3 linked regions of the Ovis aries genome follow. The protein of the gene in region 2 purifies or fractionates together with the protein of the main gene of each other region. This does not show direct contact. Links are inferred from orthologs where the notes say so. Each region holds a gene or a part of one and is shown on either strand. Other genes may lie near its edges.

Region 1 (3,568 bases), on a different chromosome or scaffold from region 2:
GCAGCAGCAGCAGTTGGGATCTCACCCTTTCTCTCGTGATAAAAAGCCTCGTGTGGAGGACTGTTTCTCTGCACATTTGCGCAGAGCTCAGGGAGGTTTGAAGGCCAAGCCTCTGTTCTTTGGGGCCTGAGGAGCAGCACTGCCCAAGGGCCTGGCCCCGTGGACAGAAGGAAGGGGCTGTAGATACCTGATAGACGTGGTTCAGCTTGAAGTGCTTCAGCAACAGCAGCAGGACGGCAGAAATGGCCTTAACGATGACCTCTTTGTGGCGGTTCACATCCACTCCCAGCTTCATGCTCTGCAGCACTGTGGTGCTAGAAGCACAACCCCGGGTGAGGCCCCAGCATGTGCAGCACCTCCTGCCTGGCGCTCCCAGGAGACAGGACTCCTGAGCCTTCTCGGGGCAGAGCTCCCACCTAACCCTCCACCCTACGGACATCTCAGAGGTTAGGCCTGGCTCCTCCCACCCACCTCCCAAGCAATCTAGCTCAGTACACCTGACTTCTTCCTTCTGATGCCCCAAACATATTCTTGGCCTATTTCCCTGCTTTTCCTCCAAAACTGAACTTCTCATCTCAAGATCTTCCTGAGGCTTCTGCCATCATATGTACTTGTGTTTCTCAGAGCATGTTCTGTTGGAATACCAGCATATTGAGATGGCTCTTGTTATGGGGAAAAGGGGTTCAGAGTCAAATAAATTTAGGAAGCATTTACTTAAATCAGTTTCTTAAGTTTGGAGTTAAGTTCTTAATTAAGGAGTTAACTATAAATCTTTATAAGAGGAGATTTAATATTTGACTCTGGAATCCTTTTTCCAAGGACCATCAGATGCCCTGGCATTCTCTAACGTCCCCTTTGGTGTTAGCCAACCCGCCTACTCCCTCACTGGCTGTCACCACTAGACTCAAGTGGCCAGCCCACCAGGGAGTTAGGCTCAGAGCTGGGCAGTCCTGGCAAGCAGGCAGGAGATCAGGTGCCCAGGTCCTTCTCAAAGTAGAACGTGATCTGAGTTTGTACTCTCAGATCAAAAACATGAGGTCAGGGCCTCAGGAAGGAAGAACCCCTGGAGATTTCACTATTACCCTGGGACGTTCAAAAATATTTTTCATGCCAGTTCACTGGTGAATAGTAAAGAATCTACACCCAGCTCCAATGGCTGATTTTTGTGCAGAAGCTAAAACTGTATGTCCTGAACGTCCTAAGCACATAGCTTTCAAGGGAGCACTTGGGGAAATGTCAGACACAGCCCTATTCATTTAACAGAGGAGGAAGAGGAAGTGACGTCTCCAATTCACTCAGTTGCAGAGTTTACACTAGAATCCAGGCCAATCAGATGAAAGTGTCCCCACAAGCAGTAAAACTAATTATTTTACCCAGTACATTTTCTTTCTTCTAAACCAAGAATACCCTAAACTTAATCTGCAGAGAAGCTGAGCTAATGTAACAGCAGCAGCAGCAACAACAAAACAAAGAACCACCACCACCCAGCAACACGTCCCCTTTCTGTACATCCTCAACTCTCAAGACTTGATACTCACGGCATCTCCTCAGGCAGGACGTCAGCTAGGATGTTGATTGAGTCTGTTTTGGCCTTCGAGGTGGGAGCTGCAGCCAGCAGGATCTTCAGTAGCGCTATCTGGCAAGGAGCAGACATTCACACAGCATGCTGAGAGGGCCCCAGGCAGCATAAACTCCTGAGAGGCGGTGCTTTTAGAGGTGCTTAGGGGGCAAAAGGAGGGGCTCAAGGACACCAGTGGCATGCTCTCAAGGCCTGTTGTGGGGCGGTGACCACATGGCAGGCAGAGCTCTCAGGAGGTGCGCACTCACCATGTACTGTGGCAGGCTGGGGAGCAAGCCTTGGTAGAGAGTTTCTGCAGGGACCTGTTCAACTTCCTCTTCTCCCTTTCAACACAATGCATATAAGGGGCACTGATACAAAGCCTGGTCCTGACAATGCTCTCCTGAGCCAGCCTGCTAGCTGGCTGGAGGAGAATCTCTAAGTATGGACGTAAACGACAATGCTAATAATGATCACAAACTTTTAATAACAAAATGTGCCAGGTACTTCACTTGTAAAGACACAATGAATCCTTACTACAACTCTATGAAGAAAGTACTATTGTTATTTCCATTTAACAGGCTAGGAAGGGAAAGCAGAAGGAGATCGAGTACCTTGCCTAAGTCACCATCCACCAAGGGGTGGCGCTGGGATTGAGAGGTAGGTGGCGGGCCCAGAGTCTGTGCTCTTACCCCTGCACCCGACACGCAGCAGCCCTGCAGCGGGAGCCAGACTGGGAGCTATGTGAGGGCGGGCCAGGATGCTCTGCAGCCTAGGCCTATACAGTGCTGGGAACGGCTGGGATCCGGTGAGCTGAGGAAGGCCCCCAACTCACCCCCGAGAGAGGAGAGCGGAGGTACTCCTCCTCCATCTGTGCCTGGACCTCTGCAATCGATGTGTACTTGTGCTGCAAAGAGAGGGAGAGAGACATTAGGGCAAACACCTCGCATTCTCTGGCCAAATGCCCACACCTGGGAAAGACCCCATGCAATTTTCTTCAAACATCATCTTCTCAAAGAGGGCTAAGTCACCACAGAGATCCTGAACTAAAACCCCAACCCAAAATATTTTTCTAAGTGGGCACCTGTCTCTTAAAACCAGTATAAAGAAAGCACAGAACAGGTTAGGGGGAAACAGGCAAATTAAAGGAGAGGAGGGGACTTGCAGACAGCTACAGCTATAGGAGGAAACGTAAAAGCAGAATCAAGGACTCAAGTACACAGAATCAAGGACTCAAATACTCAAAAAGCCTAGCTGCATGAGGCCCACCTAGTACTACAAATTTCAAAATTATATTTCAAAAATATATGAACACTTATATTGCAGATACACTCTTAGGGAACACCCCTCTTCCTCACTGTGCTGTTTCCTCCCACTGGAGGGACACGTGTGTACCAAACACCCTGGTCTCTCCCCACCGCCGCCCACTCACTCCTCCCCTTCCTGACTGGCCAGCATGGGAGGAGGAACAGGACAGTCTCGCTCAACCTCTTTCTCTTCTCTCTTAAGGAAAAAGAAAAGCCTGTGCACGCTTCTGCTCCTTGCCTAGGCTGAGCAGGGCTCCAGGCCTCTCTGGTCTGGGCAGGCGAGTCTGCCTAACTTTGGAAGGGAGGTGTCAGGACACCTCCTGCAGCTATGCTCCCATATCACTCCATCGGCAACAAGCTGGCATTTGAATCTCCACCTGCCTACTCCTCTAACTCAACTCCCTGAACTTGGGCAAGGAAAACGGAGGCTATGTCCTAGGCCCCTTAAAACGCCAACTGTCAGTTAATAGAATCTTTAATGGGTACCCCAGTAAGTACCCAATAAAAAACGCTCAGTTAAAATAAGTAAAACGCATGAAAAAGTGTTTTCAAGGATACTGCCACTGTCCACCTATTACTCCACCCCTGGTTCCTTCAGGCAGACAGAAGTCTAAAAAAGCTTCTCCCAACAGGATGGTATCACTTTACTCACTTGGGACCAAACTAGGCCAAAAGCATACCTGAAGCCACCTACCTGTTTCAG
Region 2 (4,077 bases):
AGGAACACTACCCCACACTACTGGGCCAGAAGACAGACGGAGCCTTAAAGAGGTCAAGCGTGCCTGTGGTCACGAAGTGGCAGGTCTACCCGCCTCCCCACCCATGGCTAAGAGATAGTGCCATTCAATCTTTCCTAATACCAGCCTATTACTCTCATCAGCACCTGAAAGCTAAGCCTTATCTTGAAACAAGAGAAGAAAAACAACTTAGACTCTGTGAGGCTGGCTAATAAATGCTGAATATGCTCCTCTCCAATCCCCCTCCCCAGTTTAGAGAAACAGTTTTCTGCTAATTCTCCAGGTTGCCATTACTCGACAGACAAGAACAGAACAAGAGATGACTGAGCCCAGCTGTTATACAGGGGCTCTCTGAGGTGGGGCAGAGGGGACAGGTCCTTCCCTGAGAAAAGTCCAACAGGCCTTCTGCAGTCCTATTTCAAAAGAAGTGGTCCCCTCACTCCCCCCCCAAACCCTGGAGTACTGGGCTGGTGGGGGGCGGGGGGGGGGGAAGAGGGATGCTTTCTTAAAATGCCCGAGGCAGGAAAGACCATAAGCACCGGGAGCAGGTCTAGGGCCTCTCTGAAGGGAAGGAGAGGAGAATAGGGCAGGAGATGATTGAGGAAAGAGGCTAACACTGCTTCAAAAGTAGAGAAGTTAAGAAGGGAAATACCACATCCAAGGTCATAGGGTGTCTGCAGAATTGCTGGAAATCCCAGGCCGAGGATCCAGGCCAAACTAGCAGAAGAGGCTAAAGGAAAAGAGAAGCCCAGGCAGAGCCCCACAAGGTTTAAGCCAAAGATCATGGTTTGGACCCACCTGTTTTTATTATATTTAAGTCACCTCAGCAACAGGAACCTGCAGCGAGAGTTAATCAACAACCAAGGTGGGAAGGCAAGGTGGGGACTCATCCTGTAGATAGTACACTAAGGGGAGCCTGGATTTCCATCTTATACCCCAGCTGGCCTGACTTGAGAATCACAGTTTAAACTGATTAAGACTCTCCCTCCCAAAGCCTTCAGACCCTCTTCCCCTAAACGCACACACACACACACAGAGAAAGAGAGAGAAATTCAATCTTCCATCTCCCTCCTCAGCAACTCATCACCTTATCTGAAGCAAGTCAGGTCTCCTAGCCCAACGTTTCACCAAACAAATTATGACCTGAATGGCAAGAAAAACTGTGTCACCTAGAGAAACCCAATTAACGACATGACTCTGCTCTCTTCAATTCCCCTCTCCCCTCCAGTCATATCCGGGGCACCTGTGTGGCTGACCGCCTTTTCCAGCTACTGGCCACATTCCCTGGCCAACTCAAAAACCAGAAGACATTTCAATAGGGGCCTCCGGAGCACCCAACCCAGAGATGGGAAATCCTGCTCTCCCCAAACACCCTGGCCTGTTGAGAGAGCATGAAGGACACAGGACAAAAACACCCCCTGGGGGAGAGGCTGGAGTCTTCACCTTGAAATCACTCAGTGGCCCCTTAAGCCAGGGCTCCCTGCTGAAGAAAAACGGGTAAATGCTGCTGAAAGCTCCCAAATGAGGACGTGCAAGGGCCCCAGGAGGGACAACGAATAGGTATTTCCAAGAAATTCCTGCTGCAGTTGTTCCCCTCTGATCCCTTTTCTAATGAGCCCCTCCCTGGAGAGATCGCCATCGCCTCCCCCGCCTTCCAGCAAAGCCATGAATACCTAAGCTTTTCCAAACCCGAAGGACCACATGCTGCATGTGTTCGTGTGTGTACAGACCTGTAAACATCCTCTTCCCAGCCCAGGCCAGAGTTTCTGAAGACCAGAAACGCGTCCCCTCCTCCCCCGGTGCACTTGACTTTCCTCCCAACCCCACAGCTCTGCTGCAGAGTTGGTAATGTAATATGCGGGGGACCCTGAGACCGGAAATGCCTGGTGCTGGACTGCTGCACCTGAAATGCGAAGGAAGGCACCCGGGCGGGCGGGAGCCAAGCAGCCGGGTGAGGGCGGCGGTAGGAGGTGTGCGGCCCGAGAGGGGAGGCTGAAGTGCCGGCCGGCGAAGAGATGCAATTCAGGGCTGGGCGAGGAGGAGAGAGGGTGATGAGGGGGAGGCTGGCGAGGCAGTGGCAAAGTCAAAATTCGAGGAGCCGGGAAACAGGAGGCGGGGGAAGAAGACAGAGGAGCAACGAGGGGGAAAGAGGCCCCAAAGGGGATCAGGGGCCAGGAAGGGGCACCACGGTGAAGATACTGCAGGTTCAGGGGAGCTGGAGGGTGAGCCGCAAACACCTGGAAGGAAGGGGTCCGGAAGCTGAGTAAAGGTAGAGGACGAGAGAGGAATGGGGGCGGGGCACCCCAGGGCGGGGACCAAGCTGGCTCCCAGAATCTGCAGCGCGTGGAGAGCGAAGGGGAGCGGAGGGCGGGGGCCAGGGAGAGGGGCGGGGGTCGCCGCGGGGGACCCGGCGCCCGGGGAGCTCGCGAGGCGTGCGGCCACCCGCTCTCCAGCGGCGGGGACGGGAACCGGGCGAGGCTGGGGGGGCGGCGCGCTCACCCGCAGGGCGGACAGGTCGATGTCGTCCAGGCTGCGGGCGGGGGCTGGGTCGCCCATGGCCTCCACCGGGAACGGGGCCCCGGGGCCGCTCACGCTCCGGCTCGGTTATTCCGCTGCCGCCGTCGCCGCTTCTCCCCCATCGGGGGATCCTGGGGGCGGGCTCCACCGCGCCTCCCCCGTAGAACGGGGAGGGGGAGGGCCGGCGGGAGGACCGACCCACCGACTGACAGGAGCTCTCGCCCCAGAGCCTGCAACCCGAGCCTCCCGCCTCTCCTGCGCAGGCGCAGAGTGGCCGCGCACCCGGAGGGTGGAAGAGGGAACGTGACGCGGGCGCGCCGGGTTCCCCCTCCCCCTCGGCGCCGACACCTGCGCGCAGGCGCAGGAGAGGGAGCGAAAGGCGCGCGCGAGGACCGAGGGACCGCGCGAGCCTGGCGTGAAAGAAGTGGGCGGCGGCCGAGGCGGCCGCGGAGCGCGCCCACCAGCTGGCGCGCGTGCGCATACGCGTTTCCTTCCCTTCCCCTGTTTTTTGCCCTTTCTCTCCCCCATTTCCTTCTGAGCTCTCCTTTGACGCCTTTCCTTCCTTTTCCCTCCTCTTTCGTGTGCCCAGCTGCCAATCAAACCACCCACCTCTCTATTTGCGGGGGAAGGGGGGTGGGACCCAACCCCCTCTATTACTAGGGGGGTTGTTATGGTAACTCCCCACGCGAGGGCTGGGTGGCCTCTAGATAGGATGGGCTGTCCACCCACCTAATTGCCATAGCAACAGTGGAGCCGCTGAGGGAGGGGCGTCTTCGTGAGAACTTGGCTGGAGAAACCGTCTGGGGGCTGGGGAGTGGAGGGGGGACTGGCTGCCTCGTGACTGCCCCTTTACCCCTTCCCCGACTGCAGTGGGAAGTGTTGAGGATCCTAAGATCTGAGGATAGGAAATCCTACTGCAGGCCTTTGTCTCTGCACCTCTTGTTCGGCACAACAGAACTGCTTCCACAATTACTAATTGATCACTGGAGCTGTGCGTGGAGGAGGGGTGGCAGGGAGAGGTGGAGGGGAGCAGTAAGAATCTATGTTGACCCCCTTCAAGTCTGGCTTGGGTCACCTTAGGTCTAGGCATGTTGGCGTAGAACCCCCAGCCGTTAGCCTCACTGGAGGCTGAGTAATGCTATATAAAGAGCAAGGAGTCATGTTCTGACACGGACATGCTGTGTGACCTTGAGCAAGTTGCTTTGCTTCTCTGGGCCTTTCTTTGCAAATTTGAAAGAGAAGGCTGCTTGATCTTTGAGATCACTTGTAACAGTGATAGTATTTCTGCAAGACCCCACCTCCAGCCTTAATGTAAACATTACTTTGTTGTTGTTGTCATTGTTTAATCTCAGTAGTGTCCAACTCTTTGCGAACTGGTGGACTGTGGCCTGCCAAGCTCTTCTAACAATGGGATTTCCCAAGCAAGAATACTAGAGTGGGTTGCCATTGTCTTCTCCAGGGGATCTTTCTGTCCCAGGGGTCAAACCTGTGTCTCTTGCATTAGACGGTGAAGACTCTTTCTGCAATGCAGGAGACCTGAGT
Region 3 (3,568 bases), on a different chromosome or scaffold from region 2:
GAGTGTGTGTGTTTTATTGAATTAGTTTCCATCAAGTATATGTTGCTAAAAAAGATGCCCTGTTATTTACAAAATATATATTCCCTCTAAAGGCTATAGCAGAGTAAGACTTGGTTTGATGCTAATGAAACTCACATGTTTACTTTTACTTTTCTTATTTTCACTTGAAGCCTGTGCCTACTGCACTGGCTCAGGTGGATAGAGAAAAGATCTATCAGTGGATCAACGAGCTGTCCAGTCCTGAAACGAGGGAAAATGCTTTGCTGGAGTTAAGTAAGAAGCGAGAATCTGTTCCTGACCTTGCACCCATGCTGTGGCATTCATTTGGTACTATTGCAGCACTTTTACAGGTGGGTGTATATAGCCATGAGTTGCATTTCATTCTAATTATAACAATTGTATCTCTCTGCCTTTGTACAAATGATTTTGAAAACTTTGGTAAGTTTTTTTTTTTTTTTAAGTGTTAACATTTGTAAGAATCATAGAAAAATCTAATAAAATGAAATTCTTGGATCCTACCCAGGAGATTTTATTTATTTAGTCTAAAATGAAAATTCTGTATTTTTAACAAGCAGCTCCCACTCCCAGATGATTTTGATGTAGGTGATGTAAGAACTGCACTTTGAGAAACACAGCTTTAGGAGTACTGTAAAATAATACTGCATAACGAGGTGGAGTGGGGATGGTGGTGGAGAGAGCGGTATAAGAACTAAAAGGTATATTCTGGGTAAAGAAAATGCTAGCGTAAAAATGTAACAGCCATAGGAGTAAAGGTGGGTATTCTTGTATATTAAAGAATAAATAACTAATATTTCATTCTGACTAGAACAGTCATTTCCATGGAATAAATTGATACGATGTAGTCCTAAGAACCAAGATATGATCATCTTTTAAAGTATTGTCCACATCCCTAATAATTAGATTAATATTTAAAATCTGTTGAGTAAATTCATATTCTGTCTGTACTGCATGTACCCAGGAAACTAGTCTTTCTTATGGGAACATTTTCTGTATAAAAATTTTACAGTTAAGATAAATGGAATTGTGTTCAGCAAATCATCACCTTTTGACAGAGAATACATATGTTCTCTGCTGTTTGTACATATCCCCACACATGTACATACTTTCTTATCTCATCCTTTTTGCACTTGCTACATGACGAAACAGAAACTTCTTTATGAGTTAAAGTGGTTGATTTATTGACATTTTCTGGCCAACTGTCTCATCACTACAACCTAAATAGGGTGTTGACAAAGGTGGGAGGAGGGGTGTCCCTCAAGTGAAAGCCTCAACAGATGATGCAGAATATAGGGAAAAGTGTGGGTAACCACAGTTCCCTCCTTAGAAATCTTCCTAGGGATAATATGTTTCAAATAGTCTCAGTCAGGTATATTTGTGATGAAAGGAATATTGTTTATTTCTGCCCCCTCTTTGATGGTTCTGTTCTTATAGGGTATACAAAATTAAAATTGTTGGCCTTCATACCATGGGAATTAAAGTTATTCCGTGCTCATATGGTGTTGATTTCCATTTTTTAGGAAATTGTAAATATTTATCCATCTATCAACCCACCCACCTTGACAGCACACCAGTCTAACAGAGTTTGCAATGCCCTAGCATTACTGCAATGTGTGGCATCACACCCAGAAACCAGGTAAATACTTTGGATGGATGTGAGGGTAGAGGTTTGTATTGAATGTGGTCCTAAACTTCTTCTGAATGATGAGAGGAGGGGCTTGCAGGAGGGTGCACCTGTGTGGGTGTGGATCTTCAGGACTCCTACTTTTTTTTTTCCTGAAGAATTTCTGGTTTCTAATTTCACCAGATTTTGGTGTAGTGGCAATATGGTACTATTTAACATGTTTTTTTTTTTTTAATTGAAGGATAATTGCTTTACAATATTGTGTTGGTTTCTGCCAAACATCAACATGCATCAACCATAGTAACATGTTCTTTTATAATTGATTTTTTAAATTGTGGTAAAATATAAATAACATAAAATATATTATTTGAACCATTTTATTTTATTTTTATTTATTCATTTTTGGCTGTGTTGGGTTTAGTTGCAACATGCAAAATTTTCATTGTGGCTTGCAGGCTTCTCTCTAGTTGTGGCATACAGGCTCAATAGTTGTGGCACATGAGCCCAATTGTCCTGCAGCATGTGGTATCTTAGTTCCCCAACCAGGGATCGAACCCACATCCCCTGCATTACAAGGCAGATTCTTAACCACTGGACCACTAGGGAAGTCCTGATTTTAAGTGTTCAGTTCAGTAGTTTTAAATATATTAATATGGAGAAGGAAATGGCAACCCACTCCAGTACTGTTGCCTGGAAAATCCTATGGACGGAGGAGCCCAATAGGCTAGTCCATGGGGTCTGTAAAAAAAAAACAACACATTAATAATGTGCCACTGTCACCAGCATCCATTTCTGTAATTCTATTCATCCTGTAAAACTGAAACTCTATACCCATTAAATAATAACTTCCCATCCCCCTGTCCCCTAGCTTCTGGTAACCACTGTTCTTCTTTCTGTCTATGATTTTGACTATTCTGAATACCTCATTATAAATGGAGTCATATAGTATTTGCTTTTTTGTGATTGGCTTATTTCACTTAACATAATGTCCTCAAGGTTCACCAGTATATTGGATATGTCAGAATTTCCTTCCTTTTTAAGGCTGAATAATATTCCCTTGTCTCATTTACTTTTTGCCTGTTGGTAGTAAGGAACTTTAAAGGAGTGGCGATCACCTCTCAGGAAAAGTCAGGTATACAGCTACTACTTGCTCCCGAATCCATGGTAGGCATCACTATGCCATGCATGAGGCACAGTGCATGGTATTTAGTAGGAATTCTCACATAGTAAGCCAGATTTGGTTTCAGAACCTTTTTGAACACAGGATTCTAGTCAACGTCTGTCATAAATGAGAATTGATGTGCAAGTTGAGAAATATTTGCCTTACTGCTGTATCTGACAAATTAAGAAAGGGGAGATTCTGTTCAGAAATCTGCTCTGTGGCTTTTATGGCCTTAAGGTGCTTAATAGTCATCTTATTAAAGCCTTTCCTCTCTTTGTCAAGTTTTCCTTATAAAATCTGAGTGCTGGATTGGCACTGACCTTTTGGAACATTAGAAACTTTGCTAAGAAAATTATTTTTAAGTACTTAAGAAAAATAAAAGAGTATTTAGTAAAAATTTTGGGATATTGGCTCTCCTATAAGGTGTAACTGTTACAAATTATATAAAGTAATAGACTGATTGCGTATTAGTTGCTGAACATACTGGCTGCAGATAAAAGTGTTTTTAGGATACTTGGTTTATCTGAAAGCTCTAACAAAGAAGTGTATTTAAGTGTAACAGATAAAACCTTGATAGTGGCTGCTTTATTTTGTTGTCTTGGTTTATAAGGTTTTGTCAGCTTGTACCTGTGAATATTATTAATATTGTTATTCACTCATAAATTAGGTAAGAGAAGACATATAGGAGAATCTCTTGTGCACTTAAGTACATTTTATGACCTATATTTAAAATTTGCAGTTGGATATTTTATCAGTTTTTAAGT

The links.
Region 1: the proteins of MINK1 (region 2) and STRIP1 purify together in Homo sapiens (affinity purification with mass spectrometry; 3 studies listed by BioGRID and IntAct, with this or other methods). This does not show direct contact. The link is inferred for Ovis aries from reciprocal best matches to the Homo sapiens genes MINK1 and STRIP1.
Region 3: the proteins of MINK1 (region 2) and CNOT9 purify together in Homo sapiens (affinity purification with mass spectrometry; 3 studies listed by BioGRID and IntAct, with this or other methods). This does not show direct contact. The link is inferred for Ovis aries from reciprocal best matches to the Homo sapiens genes MINK1 and CNOT9.

What each region holds. Positions count from the first base shown.
Region 1 is NC_056054.1:87,356,895-87,360,462, reverse strand, and holds part of STRIP1 (striatin-interacting protein 1), read right to left. Parts: coding exon 3,560-3,568; intron 2,466-3,559; coding exon 2,394-2,465; intron 1,903-2,393; coding exon 1,828-1,902; intron 1,637-1,827; coding exon 1,539-1,636; intron 315-1,538; coding exon 188-314; intron 1-187. UniProt on the Homo sapiens protein: Plays a role in the regulation of cell morphology and cytoskeletal organization. Required in the cortical actin filament dynamics and cell shape. Part of the striatin-interacting phosphatase and kinase (STRIPAK) complexes.
Region 2 is NC_056064.1:26,411,891-26,415,967, forward strand, and holds the start of MINK1 (misshapen-like kinase 1), read right to left. Parts: upstream 2,808-4,077; 5' UTR 2,575-2,807; coding exon 2,518-2,574; intron 1-2,517. UniProt on the Homo sapiens protein: Serine/threonine kinase which acts as a negative regulator of Ras-related Rap2-mediated signal transduction to control neuronal structure and AMPA receptor trafficking.
Region 3 is NC_056055.1:220,558,432-220,561,999, forward strand, and holds part of CNOT9 (CCR4-NOT transcription complex subunit 9), read left to right. Parts: intron 1-170; coding exon 171-350; intron 351-1,538; coding exon 1,539-1,654; intron 1,655-3,568. UniProt on the Homo sapiens protein: Component of the CCR4-NOT complex which is one of the major cellular mRNA deadenylases and is linked to various cellular processes including bulk mRNA degradation, miRNA-mediated repression, translational repression during translational initiation and general transcription regulation.